Linked DNA regions of Rhinolophus ferrumequinum. Each later gene encodes a partner of the first gene's protein in a complex. Links are inferred from orthologs where the notes say so. Each region holds a gene or a part of one and is shown in the gene's direction. Other genes may lie near its edges.

Region 1 (8,121 bases):
TTCAGCACCCTTGAACTTGATGGTTCTGTGCCGGGGCAGCCGCGGGCTGGAGGTCACCTCAGCCAGGAGCCCAGAGCCGCAGAAGCCCAGGCTGCCGCTGCGGTTTCTGAGCACCTGCTTCAGCTCCTGGTTCTCCTGGAGCAGCTGCACGAGCTGGCGCAGCTCCTCGTTCTCCTGCGCCAGCCGCTGGATCTCCTGCCGCAGGCCCTCATAGCTGCTGAGGAGGGACATGCCTGGCCGTGGGGGTAGCAGCGGCCAGCAGCTGGCGGGCTGGCCAGGGACAGCGGAGCGTAGCATTGTGAGGTCAGTGCCACCCCTGCCCCCGCACCTCGGCCACATTCCGGGGCTTCAGAGCCACGGCCCAGTGGCTCTGACCACCAGTAGCAGGGCGTGCGGACTGCTGATGTCTAGCCTCCCCCAGGGCCAAATGACTAGCGCAGCCCAGATAGGCGCTGGCCTTGGAGTCCCTCTAGGAAGACCCCTCCTGGAAGACAGAAACTCCTTCATCTCTGCCCAGTACGGGTGTGTTGCAGGGAAGGGAGTCGAGATTCAGGCATCCCCACTTGCCCATCTGCCCGTCCCCACCTGCCTATGCCAGGTTGTGGGGCTGGGTGACTGGGCACGGTCCCCGAGGTGGTTATGGCCAGCACAGCGTCTGAAGGGTCAGGAGGGAGGGTGTTTGAGCTGCCCTGAGGGAGGGGCCACTGGCCCAGCAGCAGCAGGAGCTGGACAGTGGTAACTCAGCTAGTCAGAGCTCAAGAGCAGCGGTGAGCCAGCGAGCATGCCAGGCTGGGGCTGCAGGCCAAGAGATGGGCCTGTTGCAGGGGTACAGGGAGTGGCATTGTCACATGGAGGGTGGTGCCCTGGACGTGGCCCTCCATTCAGGGGCAGGCAGCAGGCAGGCCCCATGACAGGTCTGAGGACAGCAGATTCCTGGGGCGGGCAGCCACCCCCAAGGCTGACAATTGGGTTTCCATTTTCCAACATATGAAGGACTTCCTTCATGGAGTGTGTCTTCTAACGGGACAGTTCTGTTGCCGTCATTTTGAGTGTTTTCCTCATGTTACGTTTATCGCTTATTTCACATCATCGTTTCCTATTAACTGGTTTGCTCAGTGCAGTTTCTACTCATTAACCGGTAGGTTTTCCTGGAACTTGCGTGGCCCTTTCCCAGCTGCTGCAGTGTGGCATGGTGACTTCCAGTGGGGAGTTCTCACTGGGGCCGGCTGTGGGGTGACACCTCTGAGAGCAGTGTTCCAGGACACATGGTGGCAGCTGCACTTAATCTCAGTAGAAATAATGACCATTTTAATGGTTCCTATAATTCGGAAATAACCCTAAGTCTAAGGATTATGGAGTACAGTATTTCTGACAGAACTAGTGATATTACCCCCCAAAAAATGACAGGCTCGGACCAGTCAACTTCAACTCAGACACCCTGGAAGCTGGAAGGTGAGCTGTGGGGGCAGAATTCTATGAGAGCGCAAGGTTTCCTGCCCAGTGGACACGCCCTGCATGATCCCAGGACTGTGACTGGCGTGGATTTTACGAACAACATTAAGTTGTGTTATGTGGCGAACTGAGGTATCCTGGCTGAGTCTGACCTCATCAGGTGAGCCCCTCGAAGGACAGGCCTCTTCCTGGTGAAAGAGAGGCAATGTGTAAGAGAGATTCCATGCCAGGGAGATTCTCCATGTGGCAAGGAATGTGGACAGCCTCTAGGAGCTGAAATATCACAGTCAAAATATTGAGAGACAGAGAAAATCTCAAAAGTCACAACATAAAAATGATTCATCACATAGAAGACCAACACCTAATTCCCCATCAGAAACAGTGGGGGCCAGAGACAATGGGATGACATCCTCGGAGTCGTTAAAAAGCTCAAGCAAGAATCCTACCCAGTGTACTGGAGAACGATCATTTGGAAATTAAGGTGAAATAAAGACAGTCTGAGATGAACAAAAATAGGATTTGGTACTAGCAGACCTACCTTACAAGAAATACTAAAGAAATTTGTTCATGCTGAAAGGAAGTCGGATCAGACAGTCATTCAAATCCAAGCACTCAGTGCAGACACTGTACTCACAGACGTCTGACCTACAGAGCTGTGAGTTAACGGATGCACTTTTAAGCCACTGCTTCGCGATCAGTTGTTACCCAACAGAAAACTAGCACAGCCTCCCAGTTGAAGGAAGCTTGGGACTTGATGATAAAAGAGGCAGAAACGATGTGTACTCTTCCATGGAAGTCAGCACTGTGAGACCTGGGATGGGACTTTGAGTAGCTACTCTCCCAACTGCTATGCGCCCTCCTTCCTGGCAGAAGCAACCCATTCCACCTTGCCGGAGGAGCCTGGCAGTGGCCTCACCCCTTCGAGGGGCCCACCTGGTGAAGTGAGGCTCAGCCAGGATACCTCAGCTCGCCATATAACATAACCTAATGTTGGGCGTAAAATCCATTCTAGTCACAGTCCTGGGATCGTGCAAGGTGTGCCCACCGGGCAGCCAATTCCTGCAACCCAAAGATGCACGTGCTGCCCTCCCCTCAAGGGGCAGTCCATTTCTCATCCCGTGGAATGAACTGGCCATGTGCCTTATTTTTGACCAGAGAAATGTGATGGAAGTGACAGCGAGCTGGTGCCAAGCCTTGACCGTGAAAGGGCTGGCAGGGGTAGGATGTCCAGGCAGGCTGAGTGACCCTCTCACTCTGGATATTGACCAAAGGGCAAACAGCATTTGTTCCAGGAGGTCGACTAAGTCTTGGTAAGAGCAGCAGGAATCAGTGGCATTTGAGCCCGAAACTGCTGCTGCCCAACCCCAGCTCCCCACTCTGAAGGCTCTCCTCCAAGGGGGCAGAGGCCAGAACTCGGGGCTCCAGTTGCAGGGTGGAGGTTCCACTGGGAAGGACAACGCCTCCCATCCCCCCCATAGATATGGGGCACTGCTCTGGGTGAAGCAGGCGTCCACCCGCTCCCGCCCAGGGTGAGCGGCGGGCTGGGAGGCTAGCAGCTCCACAGCAAGGCTGAGCAGGCTGGCTTTCTCTGGAGGCTGTGTGGTTTTGTGGAAGACAATGGCTACCTTAGTGGCGAGCAGTTACGAGAACGCTCTAACAAATTACCACAAACTTGGAAGCCTTAAAACAACAGACCTTTCTTCTCTTTCAGTTCTGGAGGCCAGAACTCCAAGCTGAGTGTTACGCACTAAAATCAAGGTGTCAGCAGGAATGATTCCTTCTGGAGGCTCCAGAGAATTCTTTCCTTCCCTTGTCCTTGGCTTGGGCTACATCACTCCAATCTCTGTCACTGTGGTCACCTCACCTTCTGTCTTCCGTATCCAAATCTCCCTCTGCTTCTACTTTAAAAGGATATTTGTGATTACATTTGGGGCCCACCTGGAAAATCCAGGACAAGCTCCCAGATCCTTAACGTAATCATCTGCCAAGTTCCTTTTACCATACAAGTAACATTCACAGCTATCAGACATCAGGACCTGGACGTCTTTGGCGGGGATTCTGCCGCCCATTACACTGGCTGTACAGGGGGCAATCTTTCTCCAGCAGCAGAGGACAGTGCCTCACTGGTGGGGAGCTCAAGCAGTCTTTGCCCAACAGGGGGCTGAACCCTAAGCCATGCTAACCCAGATGTTGGGGAGCTACCCTTAAATATAAGCACTGGGGTGGGGGGGAAGGGGGTGGGCTGGGAGGTGACATCAGCAGCTGCACACTGGCAGGAAACTGACTTCACAGCACTGGCCCAGACAAGCCACTAAACGAATAAACTACTCAAACAGCAACATAGCCCATGGAGCGACTGGCTACTCATGGTCCAGGGCCACTGCATAGATTATCTAAAGTGTTTCGCTTTCAACAAAAAGTTACCAGACCTGCAGAGAAACAAGTTAGCGTGACAGCTGCACAGAAGAGGTTAGCGATAGTAACTGCCTTTGAAGGGGCGGATTCTGGACTTGAGGACACACAGCCATGCCCCACGAAGGGCAGTGGCGGGGCATACATCCTGGCACAACTACCCCACAGGTTTCACGCAGCCAACAAAATATTAATGAGTTCCACAGGACAATTTAGATGGATTTCATAAGGTATTTTTGGGGTGAAAAACAGAATGTGTATGAAATGACCCCATTTTAAAAAACAACCAGAATTCCAAAAGCCACTATGGCTATACCCATACAACTTCCTGTATTTGTGTATAATTTGTATGTACGGAGAAAAACATGCAAATGACCATTTATTAGGTTAAAGTCAATGGGGGGAGGGGGTGTGCAGACAGAAAAACCAAGCCAATGTGGAAAACAACATTAAAACTGCTCTGAGGGGCCGGCCCGGTGGCTCAGGCGGTTGGAGCTCCGTGCTCCTAACTCCGAAGGCTGCCAGTTCGATTCCCACATGGGCCAGTAGTCTCTCAACTACAAGGCTGGCATGCAGGTTCAACTTCTCCACTCCTGCAAGGGATGGTGGGCTGTGACCCCCTGCAACTAACAACTGGCAACTGGACCTGGAGCTGAGCTGCCCCCTCCACAAACTAAGACTGAATGGACAACTTGACTTGGAAAAAAGTCCTGGAAGTGCACACTGTTCCCCAATAAAGTCCCGTTTAAAAAAAAAAAAAAACTGCTCTGAAAAGAACTGTGCCCATGTGTATGCATAATATAAAATTATGTCTATTTTTAAATGGACAAAAGGAAACACTAAACAGGAAGGAAAGTGTCCCAACTTGGGAGAATGGGTATTTACGACTGCGGAGCAACTGGAAGCCCGTAAGGACGAAGCCAGGATTGCTTCCAGCCCTCGCTGGTCCCGCCCGCGAACCTCCCAGGAGACTCCAGGCTTCAAAGAGAAGCAACGCCGAGCCCGGCGCGGGGCACAGGCGCGGCGTGACGACCAGGGCGCCGTGAGAACAGCCCCGTGACATAGGGACGCGGTCGGGGGATCCTGCCTCCCGCGGGTCTCCAGCCCTGGCGGCCGCAGAAAAGCTCCCCAAACGGCCCCGGGCACAGCCTTCTCCTCCTGGGCCAGCACCGCCCAAGTCCCCCGAAGGCGGCAACGAGGACAATGACGCCACCCGGGACCGTAACTTTGAGTCCGGAAGCGGGGAGCCGGCCCGCCGGAAACGCTAGACTTCCGGGAGACCGGAAGTGGGGATCCGGGCCTCCGGGAACCGTAGTTCGCGCAGAGGCGTCTGGCGGCAGAGCAACATGGCGGGGCTGGAGCTCCTGTCGGACCAGGGCTACCGGGTAGACGGGCGGCGTGCCGGGGAGCTGCGCAAGATCCAGGCGCGCATGGGCGTGTTCGCGCAGGCCGACGGCTCGGCCTACATCGAGCAGGGCAACACCAAGGCGCTAGCGGTGGTCTACGGGCCGCACGAGGCGAGTGGGCGTGCGCGAGCCGGGCACCGCGGGCGGGTGGGCGCAGGCTCGGGAGGCGGCGGCCGGCGCGTCTCCGTTTACGCAGCACATCTTCCGGGCCGAGGCTCAATCGGACTAAAAGTGGAAGTCCTTACGCCGCGGTGCACGGTGGTCCCTGCCCTTTCCACCGGCCACTGTCTCCTGCGCCCTCCCCTCCTCCATGCTCTTCTGCAAGGCGCCAGGCACGCTCCCCCTCGTTTCCTCACCTCTCTACTCCGACTTCACGGCCTGGATGATACCTCCCCAGACCACCTTATTCAAGTCCCGTCCCCTACAACCACACGCTTCCCTGCTTTTCAGCATCTGTCACCTCAGACACCAATTTAACTTCTCTTTCTCGTTGGTCTCCCCACTGGAACATAAGCTCCAGGAGGAGAGGGACTTTAAAGCCGCCTGTTTTAGTGCCATGTCTCCAGCGCCGTAACGGTGCCTGCTAGCACAGGCACTGAAAAAAAAGTTTGCTTAGCGCATGAGTTTAGGAGCCCAGCTTTCCTGGGGGAGACTAGTTAGGAGGGGGAAGGCCAGAGGGGGTGGAAACAAGCGTGGCACGTTTGCGGAGCAGAAAGGCTGCTGCTGGGGCAGATGGGGAATAATTCCAAATGAGATCGAGAGCTTTCTAGCGATGGCTTTGTAGACCAGGGGTAGGACGCAGGGTTTTATCTCACATGTGATGGGGAGCCTTTGGAAGGTGAGCAGGTTATGTGGTTGTGCAGAGGAGACAGAAGCAGACTTGATATTTGTAAACATACTGGCTCTGGCTACAAATGGAAACTGGGTTGGGAGGGGATGAGGCAGGGATGGAAACAGGCCTGTAAGACAGAGGAGATCCAGCAGTGATGGTGGCTTAGACTGTTCAGTTGCACTGGTTGAGATGTTATAGGTAGTGGGGAGGGAGGAGGGAGGCTGAAGTTCTAGGCCTGAGCCAGAAGGGCTAATGTCAGCTGGGAGGAATGGGCCTGGCTCATGTGTCTTTTCTCCCCCCAGATCCGGGGCTCCCGGGCACGAGCCCTGCCAGACAGGGCCCTGGTGAACTGTCAGTACAGTTCTGCAACCTTCAGCACAGGTGAGCGCAAGCGGCGGCCACATGGGGATCGGAAGTCTTGTGAGATGGGCCTGCAACTGCGTCAGACCTTCGAGGCGGCCATCCTGACACAGCTGCATCCTCGCTCCCAGATTGACATCTATGTGCAGGTGAGTGGTGAGCAGGCAGCAGCCCTCCCCCCAGGGACCGGAAGGGTGTGAGGGTCGGCAGCCCAGTGCACTGATGCCACTGGGGGGGGGGTCCCTGCAGGTGCTCCAGGCAGATGGTGGGACCTATGCAGCTTGTGTGAACGCAGCCACACTGGCAGTGCTGGACGCTGGGGTGCCTATGCGGGACTTTGTGTGCGCCTGCTCAGCCGGTTTTGTGGACGGCACACCTCTGGCAGACCTCAGCCACGTGGAGGAAGCTGCTGGTGGCCCCCAGCTGGCCCTGGCCCTGCTGCCTGCCTCAGGCCAGATCGCACTGCTGGAGATGGATGCCAGGCTGCATGAGGACCATCTGGAGCAGGTGCTGGAGGCCGCGGCGCGGGCTGCCCGCGATGTGCATGCCCTGCTGGACCGTGTGGTCCGGCAACATGTGCGCGAGGCCTCTGTCTTGCTGGGGGACTGAGCATCGGCCCCCATGCCCAGAATAAAACCCACAGTCCACAGCGCTTCGAACGCCCCACGGCACTTCGTGCTCTCAGAGCCTGGCTCCTGGGGGTGACCAGGGACCCACCCTGCACATGAACTACATGCCTCTTGCAGCCTCAGGATTCAAAGCCTGGAGAAGAAGGGGCGGGGGTTGGGGGTGGGGGCGAGTGTGTGGGTGGAGAGAGCAGCTTATGCCCAGAATGGTTCAAGGCAGCTGAGCAGTCAGGTGGGGCCTGGCTTGGTGAGCTAGGCCAGTAGTAGACTGGGGCCCTGAGCACAGGGCTGCGGGGGAGCTCAGCCGGCTGGGTGCCCACCCTGGAGATGTGGGGGGCCATGTCCCACATCCTGTGGACTATGGCTTGGACCAAATGGAACTCTTTGGGCCTATGCTGCAATTACCTTGGGCTCCAAAAATTCAACAGACACATGTTCTCACCTGGAGTATTCTCTCGGCTCTGACCGGTCCCCAGTGAGACACAGACACCCTCCTCCCCATCACTGCACCTGACTCTTTAGCAGACGCCCCCTTTCCTCCACCTCCTGCTCTCAGACCATCAGCCCCTGTAGTCCACATCCAGAGACTGCCTCTCCCCCACAATGCCAGTCACCTCCTGACCTGGACAGGAGTGCTCCGCAGCCACTGCGAACCCTGATTTGGCTGGTAGTACCTACCATCTTCGCCGTCCTCCCTTGGTCATCTGACTCCATAAGCTGGGGGCTAGGCTCACGCTGTGATTCCACTGAGGCACCCACGGCCATTTGTGGTGACAGGCGTCCATAGGATGCCAACGCCTTGGTCGGCTCACAGAAGCCCTCTTACGTCCGGAACCCACTCCACGGGCACTCAGAACTGTCATTTCCAGTCGGGAGCAGCGCCTTCAGAATCCCCGGTCATCCAGGCCCTGGTCGCCGCCTGCGTTTTCCATCCACCTGCCCTAATTCCTCACCCTTCTATGATTCTAAGAGCCTTCGAGTTGGAGCTGTCTTGCTGCCCGCGACTGGCCAGAGCGGCGGCGGACGGTCACGG
Region 2 (7,952 bases), on another chromosome or scaffold:
ATGTGGGCTGAGAGCTACTCCAAGCGCTTTGCACATAGTATTTAATCCGCAGCACCACTTTATGAGGGTATTATTAGCTGCATTTTTTTTCCAGAAAGGTTTACACCTTGCCCAAGGTCACCCAGCTCATAAGCTGCAGCTGGAAGTTCATCCAGGCCATTGGCTCTGGAGCCTGAGCTCCTTATCTATTAAACTCCTGCTCATGAAACCACGTCCACGTGTGCTAAGTACTTGCTAAAGAACCTCAAAGAAGTCACCTTATTTGTCTCCAGCAACCTTGCTCACATCCTATTTGATCATCTTGAATGCCACACTCCACTTACATACTCCTTCATGCCCACATTTTCAGGCTCCCTCAAACGCCTCCTCATCGGAGACGCTCCTTCCTGATTATGCTCTCCTGACCCTCCTCTTCCCCTGGCCTGGCTTTACTTTTCTTTATATCACTTATCACTGTCAGCCATTATTCATGTGCTTGTCTGCAGATGATTGGACTGTCCACCTGTCTCTATAACATAAGCTCTAAGGGACTGTGACTATTGTGTGTATTGCATTGTCCCAGTGCTTAGAATAGAGCCTGGCACATAGTAGGACCACAGGAAATACTTGTATAAATGACTAGATTCTTACAGAGTTTTACTTCTTACACAATCCAATTTTTACCAGTGATATCAAATGAAAAGTAAAGAAAAATACCACCATCAAACATAATATATAATCTCTATAATTTCAATCTTCCCTCCCAGCCCCTGTTTATAAGCAGATACTGGTATTTTACAGATAAGTACTCATAACTGAGATTCTAATACGCATTCTGCCTTTTCAGATAACATTATTGGATCAGATTAAAAAGTCCATTACTGGATGGATTTTTGTCAATGACTTTCAACAAACTACATTTTCAGGCTCAGTTTATTTATTTACTTTTTAAAGCAAAAGCAAAGTTGGCCAAGGCTTTTCCATTTGCGTCCTAGAAGTCATTATTTCCCCCTGCAATTTTTATTACCAGTGGTAGAGATTACAGTTCTAGTCCATTAGTACTTAAGTAGAGCAAGATTCTTGAGATACAAACCAGGCTTTCCTTTCAGGCAACCCGTTAGATCATTAAAAAATGTCCTGGTCACTAAAGAAAGCACACTTCAGTGACACAGATCTAGCATTTTATGTACCACAAATTCCTTCGCAAAATGTTTCAGCAGCCTTTTGATGAGCTCAGAAGTTGCAAAGAATGTCAAATGGAGATTCCTTTGCACTATCAACAAGATGGAAACAGGCCAGTGAAACATGAAAGAAAGAAGTAGTACTTACCTCAGGAGAGTTGGTTCTCGAAATTGCTTTATCTGCCTACTGATTCTTAGCAGCTTAAACAACACACATTCATCACCAAGTTTCTATGAGTCAGGAAACTAGGCAGAGCCAAGTGAGGTCTGCTTAATGGCCTCTCTTAGGGACGCAATCAAGACATCAGCCAGGGCTGGGTCTCAACTGAAAGCACAACTTGAATGGACCTGTCTGCAACTCACCTACGTGATGGTGGGCTGTACTCAGTTTCATGTGGGCTGCGGATTGTGGGGCTCAACACCTCCATGGCTGTTGGATGGAGGACACCCCCTCACATAGAAACTTGCTTCACAAACCCAACAAGGGACAGAATCTTCTAGCAAGATAGAAGTTACATTCTCTGCAATCTAATCACAGACGTGTCATCCCCTCCACGTTGAGATATCTATTGGTTAGAGGCAGGTCACTGAAAGGGGGAGGATTACACAGGCCCTGAATACCAGGAGGTGGGCATCATGGGGGTCATCTCAGAAGCTGCCCACCACTGAAGTTCTCTCTCAAAATAATGCTGCATTGCTCGCTAAAGAGATGTGACACCTACCACCTTCTGGCCTGGCTGTCCACTGTTACCTCACATAGAGTCAGCATCGTCTGGGGTTCTCCCACTTCTCCTGAAGTAGCTGCTTCTGCAACAAACTAAGCCTCCCTTCCTAGGCAACTTAAGAAAGAGGAAAACAAGAAATAAGGTAGAAACTTCCCCTCTTAAATCATTAACTTGAGTAAAGAGTCAATCAATGATATAGGTGCAACATCCCTGGGCTTTGGGGCTGAAAGAGTGGCTAAGGTTGTACAAATGACATATTCTGTAAGTCTCTCCATGAAGAGCCAACACCACTTTTGCACGTCCAGCTTCTCCTATGGCTCATTGTTAGCAGTTCAGTGCCAGTCGCATTCTCTCTCGTGTGCAAGCTGTGGAGTTACAGTTGGACCTGCTCACGTCTCTGCATTTATGAGCCCTACTTCATCACTGTACTTCTAATTGCGTGCCAAGCCTAAGCACAAGAAACTGAGTTCAGATAATCTAAGAACAGCAGCTTTCTTCTCTACATAATGTCAACTGTAAAGTACTCAAGAGAGGAAGTCAAGATCCTCACAGAGACAGCAAAAGAACTCGTTCAGGGCTAAGGCGAAGATCACCCGCTTGGCACAGAAATGGGTTCCCATTTACGAGACGCAGTACAGCGCAGCGGTTACGAATACAGTCTCTTGAGACAGACCGCTTGGGTATGAATCCTGCTCCTAGGATTCACTAGCTGTGTGACCCTGGGCTGTGTGACTCTCTGTGCCTTGGGTTCCCCCCCCCCCAAAATAATACTTTTACCTACCTTACAGGGTAATTATTAGGATTAATATTTGTAAGTGCTTAAATTAGGGCCTGGCACATAGTAAGTGTTATATGCATGTTTGCTAAAAGGAAACGGCTATAGGTTTTCACTTCATGCGACTTCCAGTTTCTGGTCCAACAGTAGTAAGCTTGGAAGTGGTCACTCCACACAACATGACAAAAACTGAGCAAATGAAAACTCTACACCTTTTCCTAGATCCATCACAGAAGTGAGATCACAGGACAAACTACTGCCACATGATGTGGAGAGGCAGGTAGGGGGTACAGGAAGGACACGGACATCTGAAGAGCTACCGTGTCCAGAACACTGTGTTAGGTGCTTTCATCCCCACCACTTAACACAAAGCAATTATTATTTCTAACCTAAAGAAGCCCTCACTCAGCAGGATTATTTAACTCACCCAAAGTCCATTTGAGCTGAAGTATATCTGAAACCAAAAGTCTATTCTTCCACAGCCAAACTGCCTCCCAGGATAGACGGTTTCAATAAAGGCCTATTTCATTTCTGAAGGGAAAGAGAAATTACTAAATGTCCATAGAAGAATCCAAGGATTTAAATGATGAACTTAACCAGGAATTATAGTGAAACTGTACTATAAATACAAACTTACATTGTTAAAGAACTTAAAGGGCCTGTACCCTGTATTCTTCCTTATTTTGAAAACCAGTCCACGATCTGAGCTCGTGGACATAATTTCTGTGCACTTTCCTCCTACTTCACAATTCCTGTCTCCAGACAATGTCAGCTCATCCTATCTCAGTCTTGGCTAATGTTGCTTCCTTTGCTTGAAACACTTTTCCTTTCCTCCAGATGGTATCATGGCTGTTCCTTCTCATCACTAAGGATTTACTTAACTCAAAGGTCACCTCTCCAAAGTGACCTCTTCCTGCAAATACCCCTATTAAAGTAGCATCCCCATTCTCGGATAGCACTTAGTCCGTGAACTTATTTTTCTTGCTTGTCTCCTCCAAAGAGAATATAAATTCCTTGAGGGACAGTATCTGTCCACCCGGCTTATCCAGCACTTGAATTATTCTTGGAACACAGGAGGGCCTCACAGATAACTAGGTACATGAATTGCAAGTGTTACAAAGTGAGACTAAAATGCATCACTGATAGAAAAAAAAAAAAACCTGTAAGAGACAAAAGAAAGGAATAGAGCCTGCCATAGGATTTCCAGTGCCTACCGCCTCTGAAGCAAATAGAAACAAAATAATGCTATGCAAACATGTCAGTAATAGCGCTTACACCAGACTGGGCACTGTTCTAAGCATGTACAGACGTCTGTCACTCCAGTTTTGCAGATAAGTACAATGAAGCACATAGGCTAACTGGACTAGGGTCACAGAAGTAGAAAACGGCCGAGTCATTATTTGAACCCAAGTAGTTGGGTTTCCTGCATTTAATACTCCTTGATGCTGCCTCTCCAAAGAAAGCTTAGTGGTTTGGCAGCAGGGACACGCTGTTTCCTCTATACCCATAAAAATAAGTCAATCGGTTTAAAATAACTGGGGCGACTGTAAGAAATCAACAGCACATTTTGTTCCAGCCAATGGTAGTTATAACACCACTGGTTACGAAGTGGGACAGCCTCAGTTTCTGTCACCTTCTCAGGTCTCCGAGGTTTCACTGCAGCTCGTGGCTCAACTTTCTTCCCCCTCCTCTCCTCCTGCGCCCCTACATTCAGTGTTTCTCCCCTGAATCTGCCGGACACTCTGCCTCTGCAGCGTCCTGGTGAACAAACGTCGCCTTCCTCACCAGTAAAACAGCAGGAACACCTGTGCGGCCCACCCCGCTACAACTGAGGAAAGGGTGCCGTGAGAGCGCCACACTGCAATTCATTTCCATCCCTGACGCTTACTTCCGGGTCCTTCTGTCCCCTACGCTTGAGGAGACAAGACTCAGACCTTTCCGCTCAGAAGTGCGCCCCCCTCGGCGGCCGGGCTCTCGGCGGCCCGCTCGGCCCGCGCCATCCTCGCTGGGCGCGTGCGCACTAGCGGCCGCCAGCCTTCGCGTTCGCACCTCGGGCCGCCGAGCCCTGATGACGTAGAGGTCCTGCGCCTCCCGGCGAGCAGGGTGCGCGTGGAGAAGCTCGGGTCCCCGTCTCCGTACGGATTCCGGTGCCCCTGGGTCCCGGGACCCGACATCATGAAAGAGACACCACTTTCAAACTGCGAGCGCCGCTTCCTCCTCCGCGCCATCGAGGAGAAGAAGGTAAACGGTCCCGGGGAGCTTCGGCTGCTCGGGTCTCCCGGCCCGCGGCAGTCTTCCGGCTGGGACACAGACCTGGTCCCCGCAGGCCCCCGGAGCCCCTGGGGGACGGCCGGTGCGTCCCTCGTCCACCAGGCTTTATTTGGCTACAGGGGGTTCTTTGCCCGGGCACCTAGTTTCTACTTTCCTGGGGCGGAGGCGGAGGATCCCGCTTCCCTCCGAGGGCTTCGCCCAGGGCCCGGGCTCAGAGTAGCTGCCCAGTATCTGTTGAGGTGAATAAGCTGGTGTATATTGTGTTTCCAGCGCCTGGATGGCAGACAAACCTACGACTATAGGAACATCAGAATCTCATTTGGAACCGATTATGGGTGCTGTATTGTGGAACTTGGGAAAACAAGGTAACTTTGGCTTCAAATTAAACATAAGCTCAACGGGGAAAAGTTTAAAAGAACCTAACTGACTTAGTTGTTTACAGAGCAGCTAACAATCCTGCACGTTATTTTGTTTAGCTGCAAAAATAAGTGTATTTTCTTTAATGCAAGGTGCTTTATAGTCACGTTTTAAATTTTAAATCGTAAATGTACATTCTGTCACATGAATTTGTTTCCTTCAGTTGTCAGTAAGTAGGTCCTACTTTCCTTTTTCCTGCGTGACATGAGAATTAGATTTTTAATATTCATTTGGCGGTTGTGAGGACGTTGGTCAGATAATATTGGCCAACCATGCATGCCATAGGAAAACTCTTAAGAAATCTCAAGTTTTCGTGCCATCTTGTATCAGTAAATATTTATTTTAGAAAAGAGAAGTTAAGGGGATTTGTTTTTTTTAAAACGATCTGTGGAATAGTCAGTATTGCAATGAGATGTTTTTTCCTGTCATCTCTTTGGGTATGCCACTATGTATCTTATTCCTGTATATATTCTGCCACTACATATGTAATATCAACCTCTGATATATCATGATGAGTATGTTATTACTCAGAATATGATTGAAACTTAATTGGTATCTGTTTTAGTTTTTTTGTTAATTGGAAAGGCAATATATTTAGTTAACAGATTTGTACTTTATCTTTGCAGAGTTCTTGGACAGGTTTCCTGTGAACTTGTTTCTCCAAAACTCAACAGGGCAACAGAAGGTATTCTTTTTTTTAACCTTGAACTCTCTCAGATGGCTGCCCCAGCTTTTGAACCCGGCAGGTATTTTAATTTTCTTCTAAGCTGCTTTAACCAGAGGAGAATCTAATAGCAGTGAGGTATTGTTTTAACGCTTGGTTGACATTAGCCCATTCCTATTTTCATAGGCAGTCAGATCTCTTGGTGAAGTTGAATCGTCTCTTGGAAAGATGTCTAAGAAATTCGAAGTGTATAGACACTGAATCTCTCTGTGTTGTTGCTGGTGAAAAGGTGGGAAATCTGCTCAAAATTCTTAATCTTAGCATGAGTATTGTTGATTACGTTAATTCTTAGAGCTTCTTTAACTCAGGTTTACTTCACTTCAAATGTTCCTGAGAGCCAGCCATAGAACTTTGTGTCATTTCTCTGTGAAGGAACAAAAAACATTGATAAAAGTAGCAACTTGGATTTGTGAAAAAATGTCTTACTCAAAGAACTTGCGGTTTTTCATATGTCTTTATTTATTTTCTTATGTTGTTTGACTTGATAAGCAGATGGTTTCCTTTTTTTAATGAATGAAAAACTGAGGAACAGATTAAATCCTTCATTTGGATAGGTTTATTGACTTATACAAGGCTACACAGTGAGTCCGTGGTAGGCTGACATTGGAAATCTTACTCTCAATAAATTATTCTGCATGATGACATTAGTACTTTTTCCTTGATTAGGGTATTTCGACCATCTTTTGTGACTCCAGAAGTCACTTAGCCTTTCCACATTCCATACTTGAATATGACACTTCCTATTTGCATTACTTGTAAGATTATCATTTGTCAAGTAAAACCTAAGGGTTTGAGGTTTTTAAGTTAGGAGACAATAAAAATATAATTAGTTTTGGAGATAGGGAAATCTTAGTGTTAAATGTAGAATGGCTCTATATATTTAGGGCTTATATTTTGCTGTTGTGAAATGATTCATATAAAGGTGAACTGGTGGTATTTCAGATATTGGTCTGGCTTAACATTTTTCTAAATACAGTTTTATTGATACAATAGGAGGAATAATCACGTTTTAACAGCAGAAGAAAAATTTGCATACAGTGTTACTTTTCCTTTTAAAAGGCCACTGGTTGTGATCAGTTAGGATTTATTTTTGTTTTAAATTCACATTCAGGTTTGGCAAATACGAGTGGACCTGCATTTATTAAATCATGATGGAAATATTATTGATGCTGCCAGCATTGCTGCCATTGTAGCCTTGTGTCACTTCCGAAGGCCTGATGTGTCCGTCCAAGGAGATGAAGTGACACTGGTAAGCTCCCCGATGTGAGCTAGGCCTCTTTCTGTGAATGAATGAATATCCTTCACGTGCAGGCAACCTGTTAGTAGTAAAGGCTTGTAGATGGAAACAAGGTATGTTCTAAAATTTGTTCGTAAAGAAAAACTACCCTTGAAACTCTTAGATCTCCTGTATTGAAATGTCTGTCAAAAAGCACACTCTAGCCTGGTTTTCTAGAATAGAACGAGATGATTTCTTCTTTGGACCAAGCATTAGATGGAGTGTTTAGGGGCCACATGTGAAAAATACACTCTTCTCAGCACAGTGAGATGGTCGTGCTTACTCTGTGGCGAAGTTCATCAGAAATACCTGGCCAGTTTGTTAAAACATTGCTAGGCTTCACCCTCAGTAGGAAGGTTAGTAGGACCTATCAGTTTGTACTTCTATCAGCTCCCAGGTGATATGGATGCTGCTGGTGCGAGGACCACATTTCGAAAACTGTTGACCTATGTAGTTTACATTGTCTTTATGTTGAGTATGTCCATTTCAATTTAAGTAAATGACATGCTAGAATAATGAAAGTGTACTGTGGTGGTAGATTGAGTCCTGAAGTTACAAAAGGAAACATCGGAGGCCCGAATTCTCTAAGCAGTCATTCATGATG
Region 3 (7,538 bases), on another chromosome or scaffold:
GATTCCAGTGACTATAGAAGAAATGCCAGCAGAGCCGTGGCACTGAGTAGGTGCGGAGGATGAGGGGCAGGATACACAGGTAGGCGATGGCCACAATGGAGCTGGTCAGCACGATCACCAGCACCACGAACACCTGCCAATACCAGGGAGGGGGGAGATGCAGGGAGAGCCTGCCAACACCCAGAGCAACTCAGGATGTCCCTGCAGTGGGGGCTGCTGCGGGTCCCTCAGACACAGGTCCCTCTGCCGCCCCCAAACAGGCCTCTTCCGGAGCGTCACTCACCACTCCACACCAGCGGATCACGTTGTCCACCAGCCAGTAGATGGGCTCAAAGGCAGCATCGACAGCGGTGTCGCTGCCCCCGAAGGAGTTGTAGAGCAGGGAGCGCAGGCAGACCTTGCCATAGCGCCAGCGCCGCACCAGGTCCCGGAGCAGAGGGGGACAGCGGCGCCGGGAGCCCAGTAGCAGAAGCAGGCGCAGGCAGAGGCGGGCGGGGCCCAGCAGCAGGCTCCGCTGGCCCTGCATGGCTCCTAGGAGAGCACACCATTGTGGGTGGCCAGCCTGGGTGCCGTCCCTCCCTATTCCACCGATGGGGAGAGCCTGAGCACCAGCTTAGAGGCAAAGACCTCAGACTGAGGCCTGGCTGGGCCAGTCACCAGCTGTGGGAAGTAGGACAGTCACTTCACCTCTCTACGGAATGTATGGTGCCAGTGTCCCAACCAGATGACAGGGAGTAGGGTGTGCAGGTTCTGAGCAGGCAGAAATCATACTTACATTACACCGTGTGGTTGCACAGCAAATCCCAGACAGTGCACACCTAGAGTAAAGGGCCACAATAAACAGGCGAAGGACAGGTAGGCAGCTCCAAGCCAAAGCAGGGTCTCTGGAGTTGTCTGTGTAGACGGCCCACTGGGTGGAGTACAGCCAATGTACACAACACTGCCCCCTGTGTCTCTGTGGGTATGGCCAGTGCAGCAGGGGTTTCCCAGGGCCCTCACCTGTCCCGGCCCTTCGACCTACTTCCTAACAATTGCTCTTCGTTCAGGAACAGCGTGGGGGAAAGGGGGCGCTACACAGCGTGTGGACCCTGCACTTCACTCTTCCCTGGTACTGAGTCTTGGCAAAATATACTCATCCTTCCTACTCTCTCTGGGCTGACATTACAGACCCAACCTGGTAGTATGTCCTGTCAGGACAGCTCAACTACGCCTCGCACGACGTAAGATGCTTTGTCTCAATTCCATTCCTAGCCCTACCCCAAGGCTACAGAAGCCAAGACAACTTTGGGTATTCATAGCAGAATAACACCACTGACAGGAAAATACTGGTGGTAGGGGAAGTGGCGGGGGGAGGAGGACTCCATGCTGGTGGCTCATGAAAACCACAAGGCCTGCCCTTGCAGTTGAGTCGCCCCCACCCTGTTCTAGCTACACTCAAGAGCCGCCTCTGCCGCTGCTGCTCTTGGCCCCAAGCTTCCCAACCAGCCTTCCCAGCTCTTTAGCCCTTTGTATGGCTCCTCTGCAAGTGCCTTCATCTCTTCCATGTGGTTTCTACCTCAGCCAACAGCCGTGGGAGGCCAGTGCCCAGGCAATGCCCACAAGAGAAGACAGATTCCTTCCATGACTGTCTCCTCATTCTGCAGATTAAAGTCCTTACTAGAAAAGAACTCATCTGATTTTCCCCTACGAAGAGTACTGTCCTCAGCAACTCCACTGACTTATTTAACAGGCAGCTCAAAACCCAGCAGAAACTGGAGGAGGCGGCTGCACTGTAGGATGGTTTCAGTGCAGTAACTGGAGCAAAGTACTCGCCTTGCATCCTGGCTCATCACCACAAGAGGCCTTTCAAAGACAGTTAATTACCTCCTTCCACAAACCCTGTAACGACCTAAGGGAAAAAGAAATCCAGCAGACAAGGCCAGCAGAGAAAGAGAAGAAAGGCAATTCAGTAGGGACCTACTCTCTACACGAGGATAAAGAAACTGGCCATTCCCATATCACCTCCTAGGGGCTAGAGAATTAAGAAGCAATGAAGAAGATGGAAAATGAAAACTCAATCTTCCTACCTCCTTTGAGTTAGGACTCCTATTGTTTGGAACCATGATTTGGCTGAAAATATGAATTTTTGAAATAGTATATATGGCCACCATAATCAAATGTTTAAAAGTGGGACAAAATATTTTACACCACAACAAGTCCAAATGACTTAGATTGTCCCTTACTATGGCTAATGGCGAGTTTCCTATTTGCTAAATACTTTTTATAGCAATAGCTTGCAAATAAGATATATCCCTCACCTACAATAAACACGAATTATATGTCATCTCTTCTGTCTACAAAAAAAAACAAAAAAAATTTCCTCCTCAGATTCTCCACTCTTTGGATTGTTTTCAATCATCTCCAGAATCTTCACAGGAAATGCCTGCCTCAAGGACTAGACTTACCAACTCTCGCCTGCCCCATAACTTGACTTAGGGTTCACTTCTGCCCTTAAGTGGTTCTGTGACCTTGGACAAATCACCAAATCCTGCTGGAACTCAATTTCCTTGTGTTACCATTCAGTGAGCAGATAGAAGTAAACGCTAAGGTCCCTTCCAAGTCTAACCCTTTATGATTCCATATACACACTTGGTAACGTATAAATGAAATGTTCGTAAAGAGCTTAGCATGATACCCGGCTCATGGGCATGCTCAATAAATACTTGTTGAATGAATGACCTGGGATGCAGAAGTGGACAGGCTTGTCAGATGTCTACCTGTCCTATAAATAACAGCAAGGGCATTCCTGCCAATGTGATAACATTAAATAAGTGTCTGCTGCTATTAGTCTTCATTTTTAGAATCATAGCACTTAAGAGCTAGAAGGCATTTTAGAAAACAAGTCTATCCAACTAAAAATCAACCCAAACATGTAAACTTGTAGATGTAGAGCTACATATCAGATTTGAATGAATAAAGTCTCAAGCCAAGCCCCCCACTCATTTTAGTTAGTGGGGTTTGGGGAAGCCAGGGAAGAGATATGTATTGTAGTCCACGGGGTCACAACTGAACATACGGAGTTTTCATCTCAGGAAACTCAGTTAAAGCAGAACTTGACAAATTGTGAAGGGGATGGTGAGGGGTGGATGACCAGAGTGACCAGGGAAGGAAAAAGAGCAAAGCACAGCTTCACTATCACCCCAAGTACAAGCCCTGAGCACTCTGACCCCTCAGTAGTAACCACAGGCCATAGGGACATCTGCCACCAGATTAGAGGGGATTGCAGGCCATGGCGCACTCCTCTTCTCAAGGCTCTAAGTCACCATCTGTTTCCCAAGGGGAAATGGGATTGGAGGATGGCGGCTTACACAGGGAAAAACAGATTCCAAAGCCACCAGACGGCAGAGGAAACTGATGAAAGCCGTGACACCTCTCATCTGGACAAAGATGCTGCGCTCAGGACGTTTGCAATCTCCAGCAGTACTGTCAACCATCAGTAACAGCAACACTTTATTCATGTGCAGACTTCCCTTTCGGACTAACACGCTGGGATGAGAAAAAGTTAAGGAATGGCCCACACGACTCTTGAAAGGATACGACTGTAAGATCGGAAACTGCAGTTACAAAAACCGGGGCATGGTTTTATTTCTCAATGAGGGTGGTATGGTTAAAGTGTGATGGACTGGAAGTCAAAAAATGTGGGTTCCGGTTTGTGCTCTACCTTAAACTATCTTCGAGACACTGGATAATTCAAATCCTATTTCTGGATCTAAGTTTGTAAATCTGTGAAATGGGCGACGTGGGCTGGTCGGCCTTTCAACTTGGCGCGTTACGGCTGCCCGGAGGGCACGAAAAGGGCACGGACGTGCAGGGCTAGGCGAGGAGACAGCAGGAAGCCGGGCTCACGATAAGGCCCCGGAACAGGGCCCGACCCTAGAAAAAGGGACAGGACTGGGGAGCAAAGGCCGCGGCTTCGCTCTTACCTGCCGCCTGCCGACTCCCCAATCAGCCAAATCCAGCCCGCAGCCTCTGCTCACTGCCACCCCCTCCAGCTCCGCGCCCCAGGACAGCCCGGCTCAATCCAATCAACCATGGCCCGCCGCCCACAGAGCCAGCCTGCGGACCCGGACCCGCCGCCAGACCATCCTCAACCACAAGCGCAAGCGCACGCGTTCCCGGAGCTCCTCCCCCGGACTCGGCCCGGGACGATCTGGGAAATGTAGTTCACCCCTCGAGAAGGCCTTCCCGGAGATCACGTGACAAGAGCACCAATTGGTGCGTTTCTTACTGAGGAACTGGATTTGGGCCAATGAGAAGTCGGCTTCGTTTCTCTCGGGGTTTGGGGCAGCGATAGTCATGGCGCCACCCGTGAGGTACTGCATCCCCGGTAAGTGAGGGGTGCCCATTGTGAATCTTGGATAGGGACAGAGGAAGGAAGGCTGGATGGCCAACAGATTCTGGGCACACGTGGCTGATGCAGCGTTTTTTCTGCAGGCGAACGGCTCTGTAACTTGGAGGAGGCCAGCCCAGGCAGCGGCACCTACACCCGGCACGGCTACATCTTTTCGTCGCTTGCTGGCTGCATGACGAAAAGCAGCGAGAATGGCGCGGTAAAGGCGGCTTCCCACCTCCTCTGTCTCTGCTTTTCCCTTAGGTTGCCCTTGATTTCGCAGTCCTTATGCAGCGGCTCCGCGGACGCGTCTTTAGAGCTTCACCAGTAGAAGAGTTGGTCTCTAAGTTTCTTCCAGCTGTGGTCCCTGCTGCTGGACACTTAGCGCAGCCCAGTTAGTTGTGTTGGTCACTCTTGGTTGTGTTCCTGACACTCAGGAGAGGAAGTTGAGGGAAGAGCAGAGGTGGGCGCAGCCCTGCCGTGAGCTGCTGAATCCTGCCCGAATGTCACCTACCTATCTGGCTTCATCCATATTCCCACCTCACTGCAATCTAGTCTAGTCAGTCATAGAGGCTTCTTTCAGTGTCGCTAACGCACTAAGCTCTCTCCTGCCACAGAACCTTTATAGGAACGCCATCTGTCTGGAACACGCTCCTCTCTCCTCCTTAGCCTATTTAATCCCTACCTATCTTTCAGATAGCCTCTCTAAGTCTCACTTTCTCAGAGGAGCCCTCCTAGACTTCCCTGCTTAGGACACCTGTCCACTAGCTGAGGAAAGGAGTTTTGGTTTTTGTTTACTGTGTGTTTTGTTAAACACAAAGAATTGTATTCCTTTCCTTCCAAGCACTTATCTCAGCATATAATTAAACACTCAGTTCCCCATTAGACTTTTCTCCTACTAAACTCAAGATCCATGAAAGCAGGCCTTACCACCATAACTCAGAGAGTACCACAAGGTAACTGTTCAATAAACATTTGTCGAGTGCGTTAGTAAAACTATCCTTGTGCTGGAGGCTGGTCTAGGATTAACTCAAGATCAGATAAGCAGACTTCGAAGGAACAGCTTAAAGACAGGTAACATAGTAGAAAGAGGATTCAGAATTAGAACACTCTTAGGTGCTGGCTAACTAAACCTTGATTCTACTTTATGTAAGAAACAAACTCTCTGGGTTTCCGTTGTTCCTCATCTGTAAAATGAGAGGCTTTTTATTCAGTCAATTTTGGGAATGTCCTTGACCTTCCTCAGTTTGTTCATTTCATAGATACAGGTATCTGTTGAGCATGTTCATGTGCCACTCTCAGTAGTGACCTCTAAGGGGATGGTAATGAGCCAAATATACATGATCTCTGCTGTCAAGGGGCACAGGTAAATTGTAAACAAATAAGTGTTCAAATGCGATGACTGCTTTAAAAGAATACGACAGGATACCATGAGAACGTCATCATAAGCAAACCCACCCTAGTCACTGGAAGTGACATTTAACCAGAATCTAAAGAATACGTAAGAGTTGGGTGGGTGGGAGGACTTAGTACTGGCGGAAAGAACAGGTTGAACAGACATCCTGAGATGGAAAGAAACTTAGTGAGTTGATGAAACTGAAAGAAGGCCAGGAGAGCTGAAGCATAGTGAACAAGGACGAGATTAATAAAAGATGAGGTTCAGAAATACTATCTATCTTATTCCAATAGTCAATGCCGTGCTCAAAGAGAAAACTACAAGTATTCCCTTAAACTAGAAGTAAACAAGTATGGCCACTATTACATAACATTTATTTAGAAATTCTAGCCTATACAATAAAATGAGAAACAGAAAGAAGCGGTATACCTGGAGAAAAGAGTCAAATTTATCCACGATTATAGGCCATATAATTATGTACCAATAAATTCCAAGAAAATCACCAAAAACTTGTTAGAACTAATCTGAAATGGTTACATTATATCTTTTAGCGGCATTCTTCCTGTGGCCCCTTGGCCTTCCTATTTCCTAAAATGTCTAGGCTTCTGCTCTAGGCTACAAATGTATCTGTATTCCACCTGCCCTCATGACTTCAACTAAGGAATTTCTATATTATTCTCAAGCCACGAATACCTTTACCCAAGGCTTAGCCAGGATACTCACATTTTATTGTTTTCTTTGTAGCTTCCTGTCGTGTCTGTAATGAGAGAAACAGAGTCCCAGTTACTGCCAGATGTCGGGACTATTGTAACCTGTAAGGTAGGTTAGTCCTAACTTCCCTGCTTAGGGCACCTGTCCAATGCTGAAATCATGATCTGTGTAGAACTGCCCTGTTCAATATGGTAGCCACTAGCCACATATGGCCATTTAAATTTAAGTAAATTAAAATTTTAAATTTATTTATCAGTTCCACTAGCTACATTTCAAGTGCTTACTAGCCACAGGTGGTTAGTGACTGCCATATTGATCAACATAGAACATTTCTATCATCACAGAAAGTTTTACTGGACTGTGCTGGTCTAGAGATTTCTAGGATAATGATCAAGGCAGCCAAGTCAGGCTTGCGTAGTTCTTTCACAGAGCTGGTTCCCTGAGTACATATATATTTTTTACCTGTGTCTGGGAACTAGGGGTACCAAAGGGTGGTGGAGGCCTATTTTTGAACTTCTGAAGTGGGACCTTTTTCTGCAGAGAAGCAAGAGACTTGAATACTGTAGCGTTCCTATTAAATGTAAAGTCTTTTAGGATGTTTCATGGGAAGTACAAATTAATACTGTAATGATCAGTAACTATAATATATCATCCTACCCTCTACCAAGTTAAATTAACTTGGAGCTCTCAGTTTATTTCTTTATACATTGCTCCAGCAGAAAATCTATGTGTAATTCTGAAAATAACTAGAGAGGCAGTAATCCAGATGTTATTGCAGCAGCTGAAATGTACACTTAAATTCCATCCACTACACAGGCCTCTGTTAAAGGTCTAGATTTGCTATAATGCCCTGTGTCTATGCTAGACGTCTGTATTTTTCAAAATCTAAACCATATTATTTCATTTGATTCCCACAGTAACTCTTAGAGTGGCTCGTATTCCATTTTACATATATCACTTACGCAGGGATAAGTAGGAGTTAACTTGTCTTAAATTCTATGCTTAGTTGGGTTGCTTGGATGAAAATCCTGATAATTCCTAGTTTATTGCTGCCTCCTTGAG
Region 4 (7,497 bases), on another chromosome or scaffold:
TTATCATCAGGGTCCAGACACTTCTGATTACCGCGAACTACTGCTTGAGCAACGCTGACCAAAGTGTCCACTTGTATACATTTTTTTGGCACCTCCAGTATTTATATTTTTATATATATATGTATATATATAAACACACACACACATACTGGTGTATATATAAGTGTGTGTATACACACACACATTAGAGTCCCTTGAATTTCCATATGAGTTTTAGGATCAGTTTGTCAATTTCTGCAATGAGGACAGTAGGGATTTTGATAGGAATTATTATCTTAACAATATTAAATTTTCTGATCCATGAACACGAGGTACCTTTCCAATTATTTAGATCTTTAACTTCTTTTAACAACATTTATAGTTTCTAGAGTTTAAGTTTGGCATTTCTTCTGTTAAATTTATTCCCAAATGTTTTATTCTTTTTGATACTACTGTAAATGGAATGGTTATCTTAATTTCATTTTTCGGTTGTTCAAGTGTACAGAAATGCAATTGATTTTTGTATATTATTCTTAAATTTAGCAACCATGCTGAACTCATTTTATTAGTTCTAATGTTTTTTTAAATGAATTCCTCAGGGTTTTCTATATATCAGATTGTATCACCTACGTATAGAGAATTTTACTTCTTCCATTGCAATCTGGATACCTTTTCTTTCTTTTTCTTGCCGAATTGCCTGGGATAGAATCTCCAGTACAATGTTGAATGGAAGCGCAGGGAGCAGATTTCCTTGTCTTTTTCCTATCTTTGGGGAAAAGCTTTCAGTCTTTTGCCATGAAGTATGATGTTAGCTGTAGGTTTTTTGCAGATGCCCTTTTTTTAAGTTCCTTTCTAATCCTAGTTTATTAAGTGTTTTTAATCATGACAGGGTACTGGACTTTTTCAAAAGCTTTTTCCTGCATTTGTTGAGATGATAATGTGGTTTTTGTCCTTTATTCTATTGATATGGTATATTACATTAATTGATTTCAGATGTTAAAAGAACTTGCAATCCTGGGATCATTTGGTCTTGGTGTATAATCCTTTATATACGTTGCTGAATTCAGTTTGCTAGTATTTTATGGAGGATTTCTGTATCTATATTCATAAGGGATGTTGATCTGTAGTTTTCTTTTCCTGTGGTATCTTTGGTTTGATATCGGTAATTCTGGCTTCATAGCATGAATTGGAATATGTTCCCTATTCTAATTTTTTTTGTTGTTTTTTTGAAAGAGTTTATGAAGAATGGGCATTAATTCTTCAAATGTTTGGTAGAATTTGTCTGTGAAGCCATCCAGAGCTGGTGAGAATCTATCTTATTGCTGTTACTGACCAGTTTGTTGATCTTACAACCTCATGAGACCTTGGGCCAGTTATCAATATATTGCCGCTCAGCTCTACACTCACCCTTCACTGCCTGCTCTGAGAAAATGGATCTGGGCCTTTAAAATATTTTTCCTTTGCTATCTATCATGAAGATAAGCTTTATAGGTAGAAGGCCCAGCAGAGGCATTGCAGGAAGAATAGGTTTTGCTTCCTGGCTGCAGTGTGCTCTCTGGTATACTTCCACTGAAGCTGCAGGGCAGCTTCTCCAGTATCTGCTCCTGTTTTGCTTGGTGGCCTGAAGAACCCAGCAGCCAGCCATTTTACCTTAAAAGTTTTGTAACAGGTTTTTAGGAGACCCCTCCACAGGAACAGCTTTCCCCAGCATCCTCGAAATGCCAGCAAGTTCTGGAGGGTGGATTTCTAGCAAGTTCCACTGGCACAGGTTACCAGTGACTTCTTGCCACTTAATGAGCCATAGCCATGCCCTCTCCAACAAGGTCTCAGTCAGTCATTCCAAGGGGGAGGGGCTCTTCTTGGGTGCTCTATCTCAGTACTCGGGGTAATACATGGTTCTTATATCTACTCTTACACTCTTTAAAGCTCTCTTTAGTTCTTCATAGACAGAATTCTTTGTGATTAAAAGCATCTGTAGCAAGTAGATGCTCATTTGTGCAGTAGTAATTCTGAGCATTTATGTTTACATCCTTTACTTGAATAAAGATATTAACATTACTTCCATGGAGTCTTTTGCTATTAATTTAATCAGCATGCAGTTAATTTGTAGTTTTTAGAAACCAGTAAACTTAAAAATGTTAAAGGTTCACTCAAATAGTACCTCTTTCGGCACACCTATCCTGACCCCTACCTTCCTCCCACACAGAGGTACTGTAACTATTTTATCCTTTGTAATTTTAGGGCTGACACTAATCAGGCTGCTACAGCCACTGTAACGCTTGGTATTTTCCTGTGAAGACAGTGAACCCCCTCAGGGCAAGAACCATCATCCAGCAAAGGCTCAACTAGTGTTGCAGACTGAAAAGAAAAAAATCGCCTAGCCTCACTAATCAACAAAGAAAAGCAACCGTGAGATTCCACTTTTCCAACTCCTTAAAGTAGAAAGATTACTAACGACGAAGTTCTGAGGAAAGAGTCTAGAAGACCGTGTTCCGGTCCAACCTTTTTCTGAAGGGCAATCTGGTAGTTTCCCGAAGAAAATACTCAGAAATGAGGAGGTATACTCCAGAGGGAGTCGAGAATGGCGCCCCTATTGCATTGACTCCCAGGCAACAAGCCCCCACACAGGGCAGATCCACCAGAAAGCCCCCATGCGCGGGCTGAGAGCGGGGCGTGGTCTCGACTCCGGAAGTGTGCCTGCGACTGCATTCCTCAATTGCTGCGGCCACTTGCACACCACGAAAAGGTAACACACACAGTTCGGAAACGCAAACTTCATAACTGCAACCCCCCGGGACCCTGGGACCAGACCGCGGGTGGCCGAAGCCCACTGGTCTCCACGCCCTCCCTCCGATCTTGGCTTCCCACCCACCCGCACGCGGGTGGACCTCGCATCCCCAGAAACCTGCACATCAACCCCGGTGGTGCTCTCTCACTTACCAGAGGCCGCAAGACGCCCAGGCTGCGAAGCACAGGCATGGCGGCACGCGACGCAGAGACCAGGCTGCCTTCCCCGTGCGTTCAGCCCTCTGTCCCGCCCCTCCGGGTGTGTCGGGAAAGGTTTGGCCCACGTGGTCCTGATGACCTGCCCCTCGGGACCGGAACTTCCGGTCTTCAGGGAAAGGACTTACTATTGGCCTCTGGTTTCATCTGTTGACTTGCGGGAGAGCTGGATGGATGCCTGTGTGCCACCCCTACAGGGAAGTGGACTTGATGGAGCTCCTTCGACAGGTGGGGGCAGTTTTTTCCAGAGTCTCCTCTACTGATGTGGGGTGCTTGACGGACAATCCTGGGATTACTTCCCCATCTCCCTGTCTGCCTGGCCCTGATCCTAAGTTATTGAGCACCTTTCGGGCACCGTCTCGGGCCAGCCACACTCGAAGCAGTTTTGGTCACCGATACCTACCGGTTCCAGGCCCTCTGGAGCTGGGTTGGAGTGGGAAGGTGAGAAAGAATTTGCACCACCTCTTCTGCCAGGGTAAGTGACCAAGAACAGTTCTTAAAATCTGCAAAACAACACAAGTTACATTTCAGTTGATTTCTTATTGAGTTGGCTCACCAATATCTTGCCAGATTTTGGGGGCATGTTATAGATGGTCTGTCTTAAAAATCCTAAAAATCTAAAAATTTGCGTTGGAAGCAGATGCCTCAAAAAGATGAGCAGAGGCAAGCGACTCCCTAAGAGTTTTCACCCCTGCTGGGAATCTGATGAAGCTCTAATTGGAGGTGCCATTTGGCAGAGGAAATGGTGATTTCAAGTTAAGAGCTCTAAAAGTCGGAAGAGCAGACCTGAAGTGCTATGGATTTGGAATTCAGCTATTTCTACATGGGCAACTAAAGTGTGCTCCCGGGAAAAGAGAAGCAAGGACTCAACTGCAGTTACTGATTTTCCCAGGCCATGTAAGGGTAGCTAAATTATGTGGAAACGTACATGTGATATGTTTATATTTACAGAAAAAAAAGTCTAGGGAGAAATACATACCAAAATGTTAACATCCACTCATTCATCAGGTATTACCTATTTTGAGCCACACCCTTGGCTACAAAGAATGAGAAGTAGATGACAGTCTAGCAAGGGAGACAAATGGGTGCAAGCCTAGTATGTTTTATTTTTCTTATTTTCTTTTTATTCTTCTCTGTTTTCCGTAGTGTGAATAGATATCTTCTCTAGCAACAACAGAAAAGGTTTTACTTTGTAAAAGAAAGATACTTTTTCCTTCTGAGAGCGGAGTCGGAAGGTAGGGCCAACTCCGGAAGCCACTCTACGCGGTGCCCAAAGTTCGCTCGGAACCCTAAGTGGGAGCGTGTTGTATCCCAGCGTGCGACCCGGAAGTAGAGGCTCTGCGCTCAACTCGAGCTGCGTGTTTCTTGTGCTGACCTGCAGGCTGCAGGGTAGGCAGCCGGCTAGAGACACGACAGCTACCTTGGAGGGACCCGCCGGCCTACAGGGATCAGGCTTCACAGACGTAGATTCAAGTCCAACAGACCGCTACTACCGAAAACGGAAAGCCTTGGGCGGGCTGCGATTGGACGCGGTGCTAGAAGGGGAAGCCGGAAACTGGTGGCGCCCGGGATGGCTGAGGCGGCGGCTGTCGCGGGCGAGTCCCTTGGGGGTGGCAGAGCGCGGGCGGCGCGCACTGTCCTAGGTCAGGTGGTGCTCCCGGGTGAGGAGCTTCTGCTGCCGGAGCAGGAGGATGCAGATGGTCCGGGAGGTGCAGGGGAGCAACCGCTGCGCCTAAATGCCGGGGCGCGCTCCCGGGTGCGCGTTGTGTGCGGTCCGGGCTTGCGACGCTGTGGCGACCGCCTGCTGGTCACCAAGTGTGGCCGCCTCCGACATAAGGAGCCCAGCAGCGGTAGCGGCGGCGGCGTTTACTGGGTAGACTCGCAGCAGAAACGGGTGAGTTGGGACTCCGGAGCAGTGGTACGGCCATGAGAGTGGTATCCTCACTCTGGGAAGACTTCTGGGAAGAGCCAGGGAAGGAGCGCTGGAGCCCTCCTGTATTAAGGCTAGCCTAGGGCCAAGCGTGTCTGGGTCCATCTCTGCATCTCCTATAGAGAGACTGAACAACTGGTACGTGGCTCTAGAAGGGCGACCGGGAGGGAAAGGAATCTGGAAATGTTGGCATACAAGGGATAAGGACTGTGAGATATGGTCATAGTCTTCAAAATCCCAAAAGTCAGGGAGAACCGAGCTTATCACGAGGGTGTCCCAAAATGTAGAACTATCAATGAGGGTATCACAGGGAGTTGTTTCTCTTAGAATAAGTAAGAATTTCATATAGGAAAATTTGTCTAACGATGAAATGGTCTTTCTTGGTTGTGAAGACCCCCTTTGCCACTGGACTTATGTGCAGACAGAAGCTAGGGACTTCGTGATAAGGATACTGAAGATGTATGGGATACCTGCTCAAGTGAACAGACTATTAGAAGCTGTAAACTTGAGAGTTACATGATGTGATTGTTTTTCTTTTACTGAAAGTGGCATATGATCAAGTTTGTTGTAAGATTTGTATTAATTTGTAAACCAGGATTTCAAAATATTTTCTAAATATCCCTAGTGACGAACATAATAAAGTAACCACTAAGGATCTGCTGAAGATATCTTCAAAGATATCTTGAAAATGATTGTTATTTATGGTTGTACTCATTCTGATTTCTTTCGTAGTATGTTCCAGTGAAAGGAGACCATGTGATTGGCATAGTGACAGCTAAATCTGGAGATACATTCAAAGTTGATGTTGGAGGGAGTGAGCCAGCTTCTTTGTCTTACTTGGCATTTGAAGGTGCAACTAAAAGAAACAGACCAAATGTGCAGGTAAAGATGGCAACCTTTGGTTTCAAAAGAAGAAAAGCACATATCCACATATCCAGAAGCCTATCTGAATTGTCTCCAAAGCATGACCTTTTCCCCCAGTATAGGATGATCTTCGAGCATCTGTGATCACTCCATGCTCCAAGAGTTCCTTTTGATGCTCCAGCTCTGGGACCAGAGCCACATACTTATATTACATTTGCTACATTGGGGGTTGTTTCATCTCAACTGTGTTGAAAGGTTATATCTGTTCTCTCTGTTACCTGTTATGTCCATATCTACTGGACATAGAAGTAAGCAAGCCATGGGCTTAGGAAGGAAGGAGGGATAAATGGTGCAAATTGCCTTATCCACCATCCATCCATCCTGATTGTATGTCCTGGGACTGTCATCTCACAACTTCAGTCACATCACTGTTTCCCAAGAATCTTCCTGGAGTTGACAGAGGAGTAGTCATGTTTCCTCAAGTTTTCTATTTGGGCTTTTCAGGTAGCATAGTCACATTTCCTGTACAACCAAACCAGAATTTTGGTTTCTTTGTCCCTTCTCACCTTACATATGTCTTTTGTTGGTTAATCCTATTGATCCTATTTGATTCTATCTCAAAGTCCACCCCTGCATCTCCATTTTGCAAGTTCAGGCCTTAGGTACCTCTTGATTAGAGTTGGTCAGTTACTTTCTCATTAACATCCCTGCCTGTACTCTTTGCCCTTCCATCCAGGATTTTGAGAGGTGAGCACTGAGAGCCTCACACACTCTGTAGGCTTTCTTCAAAGCATACAGATTTCCTTGGCATTATACTCTTAAGTCTTCCCTCATCCATAATTATATCTTCATACAGCTATGCTTGAACCACATCAAACTATGTAACAGCACTACTGAACTCATAATTTCCTGCCCATGTACATTTACTCAGGCTGTTCTCTGTCTGGATTGTTTAGTCCCCTTTTCAGCCTGTGGAACACAAACTCATCTTTTAAGACCCAGGAAAACACCAACACTTCTGTAAAACCATCTGTAATCTTCAGTCACTTTTTCTTATAACTTTGCTCTAGCACTTACTGCATTCAGCCTTTGATGAAGTTTGTTGTTTATATGTGCATCTCCACTGCCCTCCAAAACCAAATGCTTCTGAAAGGCAGAGAATGTTTTGTTCCTTCTAGTTCCTATAGTCACCAACAAATAGTAGGTACTAACAGAACAAGTTCATTCTCAATTTCCTTAGTTCATCATTTTGAAGTTCAAGTCTGAGGTTTTCACGTAAATCTTGCATGGAGAAGTGTCATTGTATTACCATTTTCCATTTTGCTTTGAATAATACCCGTGCCCGTAACTTTTCTGTCAATCTTCTGTAATTCCCGAGAACAGTGCTAATAGAACTTTCTGTGATGATGCTGTTTTACATCCACACTGATTAGTATGGGTGCCCCTGGCCATAGGAGTCTGTTGAGCCCTTGAAATATGGCTAATGCAAGTAAGGAAATGAATTTTTAGTGTCTGATTTGAATTAACTTAAAAGTAAGTGTAAATAACTACATGTGGGTAACAGCTACCAGATTGGACAGTGTAACCCTAGAGTGTGTTTCCTGGCTTTGAGATGGCTCCCAGTCTGGGGATTTCTGGTGGGTGAAGCAGGAGGGTACATGTGTTAATGTTGCCTTCTTTTAAGACCCAACTCCAGAGTGACTCTGGGAATTCTGGAGTGT

The links.
Region 2: EXOSC4 (region 1) and EXOSC9 share a complex: the UniProt entries of both Homo sapiens proteins name them as parts of the RNA exosome core complex. The link is inferred for Rhinolophus ferrumequinum from reciprocal best matches to the Homo sapiens genes EXOSC4 and EXOSC9.
Region 3: EXOSC4 (region 1) and EXOSC1 share a complex: the UniProt entries of both Homo sapiens proteins name them as parts of the RNA exosome core complex. The link is inferred for Rhinolophus ferrumequinum from reciprocal best matches to the Homo sapiens genes EXOSC4 and EXOSC1.
Region 4: EXOSC4 (region 1) and EXOSC3 share a complex: the UniProt entries of both Homo sapiens proteins name them as parts of the RNA exosome core complex. The link is inferred for Rhinolophus ferrumequinum from reciprocal best matches to the Homo sapiens genes EXOSC4 and EXOSC3.

The regions. Positions count from the first base shown.
Region 1 is NC_046297.1:72,919,522-72,927,642, forward strand, and holds EXOSC4 (exosome complex component RRP41), read left to right. Parts: upstream 1-4,732; 5' UTR 4,733-5,210; coding exon 5,211-5,381; intron 5,382-6,404; coding exon 6,405-6,611; intron 6,612-6,711; coding exon 6,712-7,071; 3' UTR 7,072-7,111; downstream 7,112-8,121. Other genes in the region: OPLAH (5-oxoprolinase), read right to left, coding at 1-339. UniProt on the Homo sapiens protein: Non-catalytic component of the RNA exosome complex which has 3'->5' exoribonuclease activity and participates in a multitude of cellular RNA processing and degradation events.
Region 2 is NC_046301.1:4,659,547-4,667,498, forward strand, and holds the start of EXOSC9 (exosome complex component RRP45), read left to right. Parts: upstream 1-4,716; 5' UTR 4,717-4,835; coding exon 4,836-4,901; intron 4,902-5,201; coding exon 5,202-5,296; intron 5,297-5,974; coding exon 5,975-6,094; intron 6,095-6,198; coding exon 6,199-6,301; intron 6,302-7,183; coding exon 7,184-7,321; intron 7,322-7,952. UniProt on the Homo sapiens protein: Non-catalytic component of the RNA exosome complex which has 3'->5' exoribonuclease activity and participates in a multitude of cellular RNA processing and degradation events.
Region 3 is NC_046299.1:26,347,295-26,354,832, forward strand, and holds the start of EXOSC1 (exosome complex component CSL4), read left to right. Parts: upstream 1-4,280; 5' UTR 4,281-4,335; coding exon 4,336-4,366; intron 4,367-4,473; coding exon 4,474-4,589; intron 4,590-6,509; coding exon 6,510-6,584; intron 6,585-7,538. Other genes in the region: palmitoyltransferase ZDHHC16, read right to left, coding at 1-133, 284-526. UniProt on the Homo sapiens protein: Non-catalytic component of the RNA exosome complex which has 3'->5' exoribonuclease activity and participates in a multitude of cellular RNA processing and degradation events.
Region 4 is NC_046295.1:53,395,135-53,402,631, reverse strand, and holds the start of EXOSC3 (exosome complex component RRP40), read left to right. Parts: upstream 1-4,315; 5' UTR 4,316-4,552; coding exon 4,553-4,876; intron 4,877-5,644; coding exon 5,645-5,794; intron 5,795-7,497. Other genes in the region: uncharacterized protein LOC117031691, read right to left, coding at 2,920-2,958. UniProt on the Homo sapiens protein: Non-catalytic component of the RNA exosome complex which has 3'->5' exoribonuclease activity and participates in a multitude of cellular RNA processing and degradation events.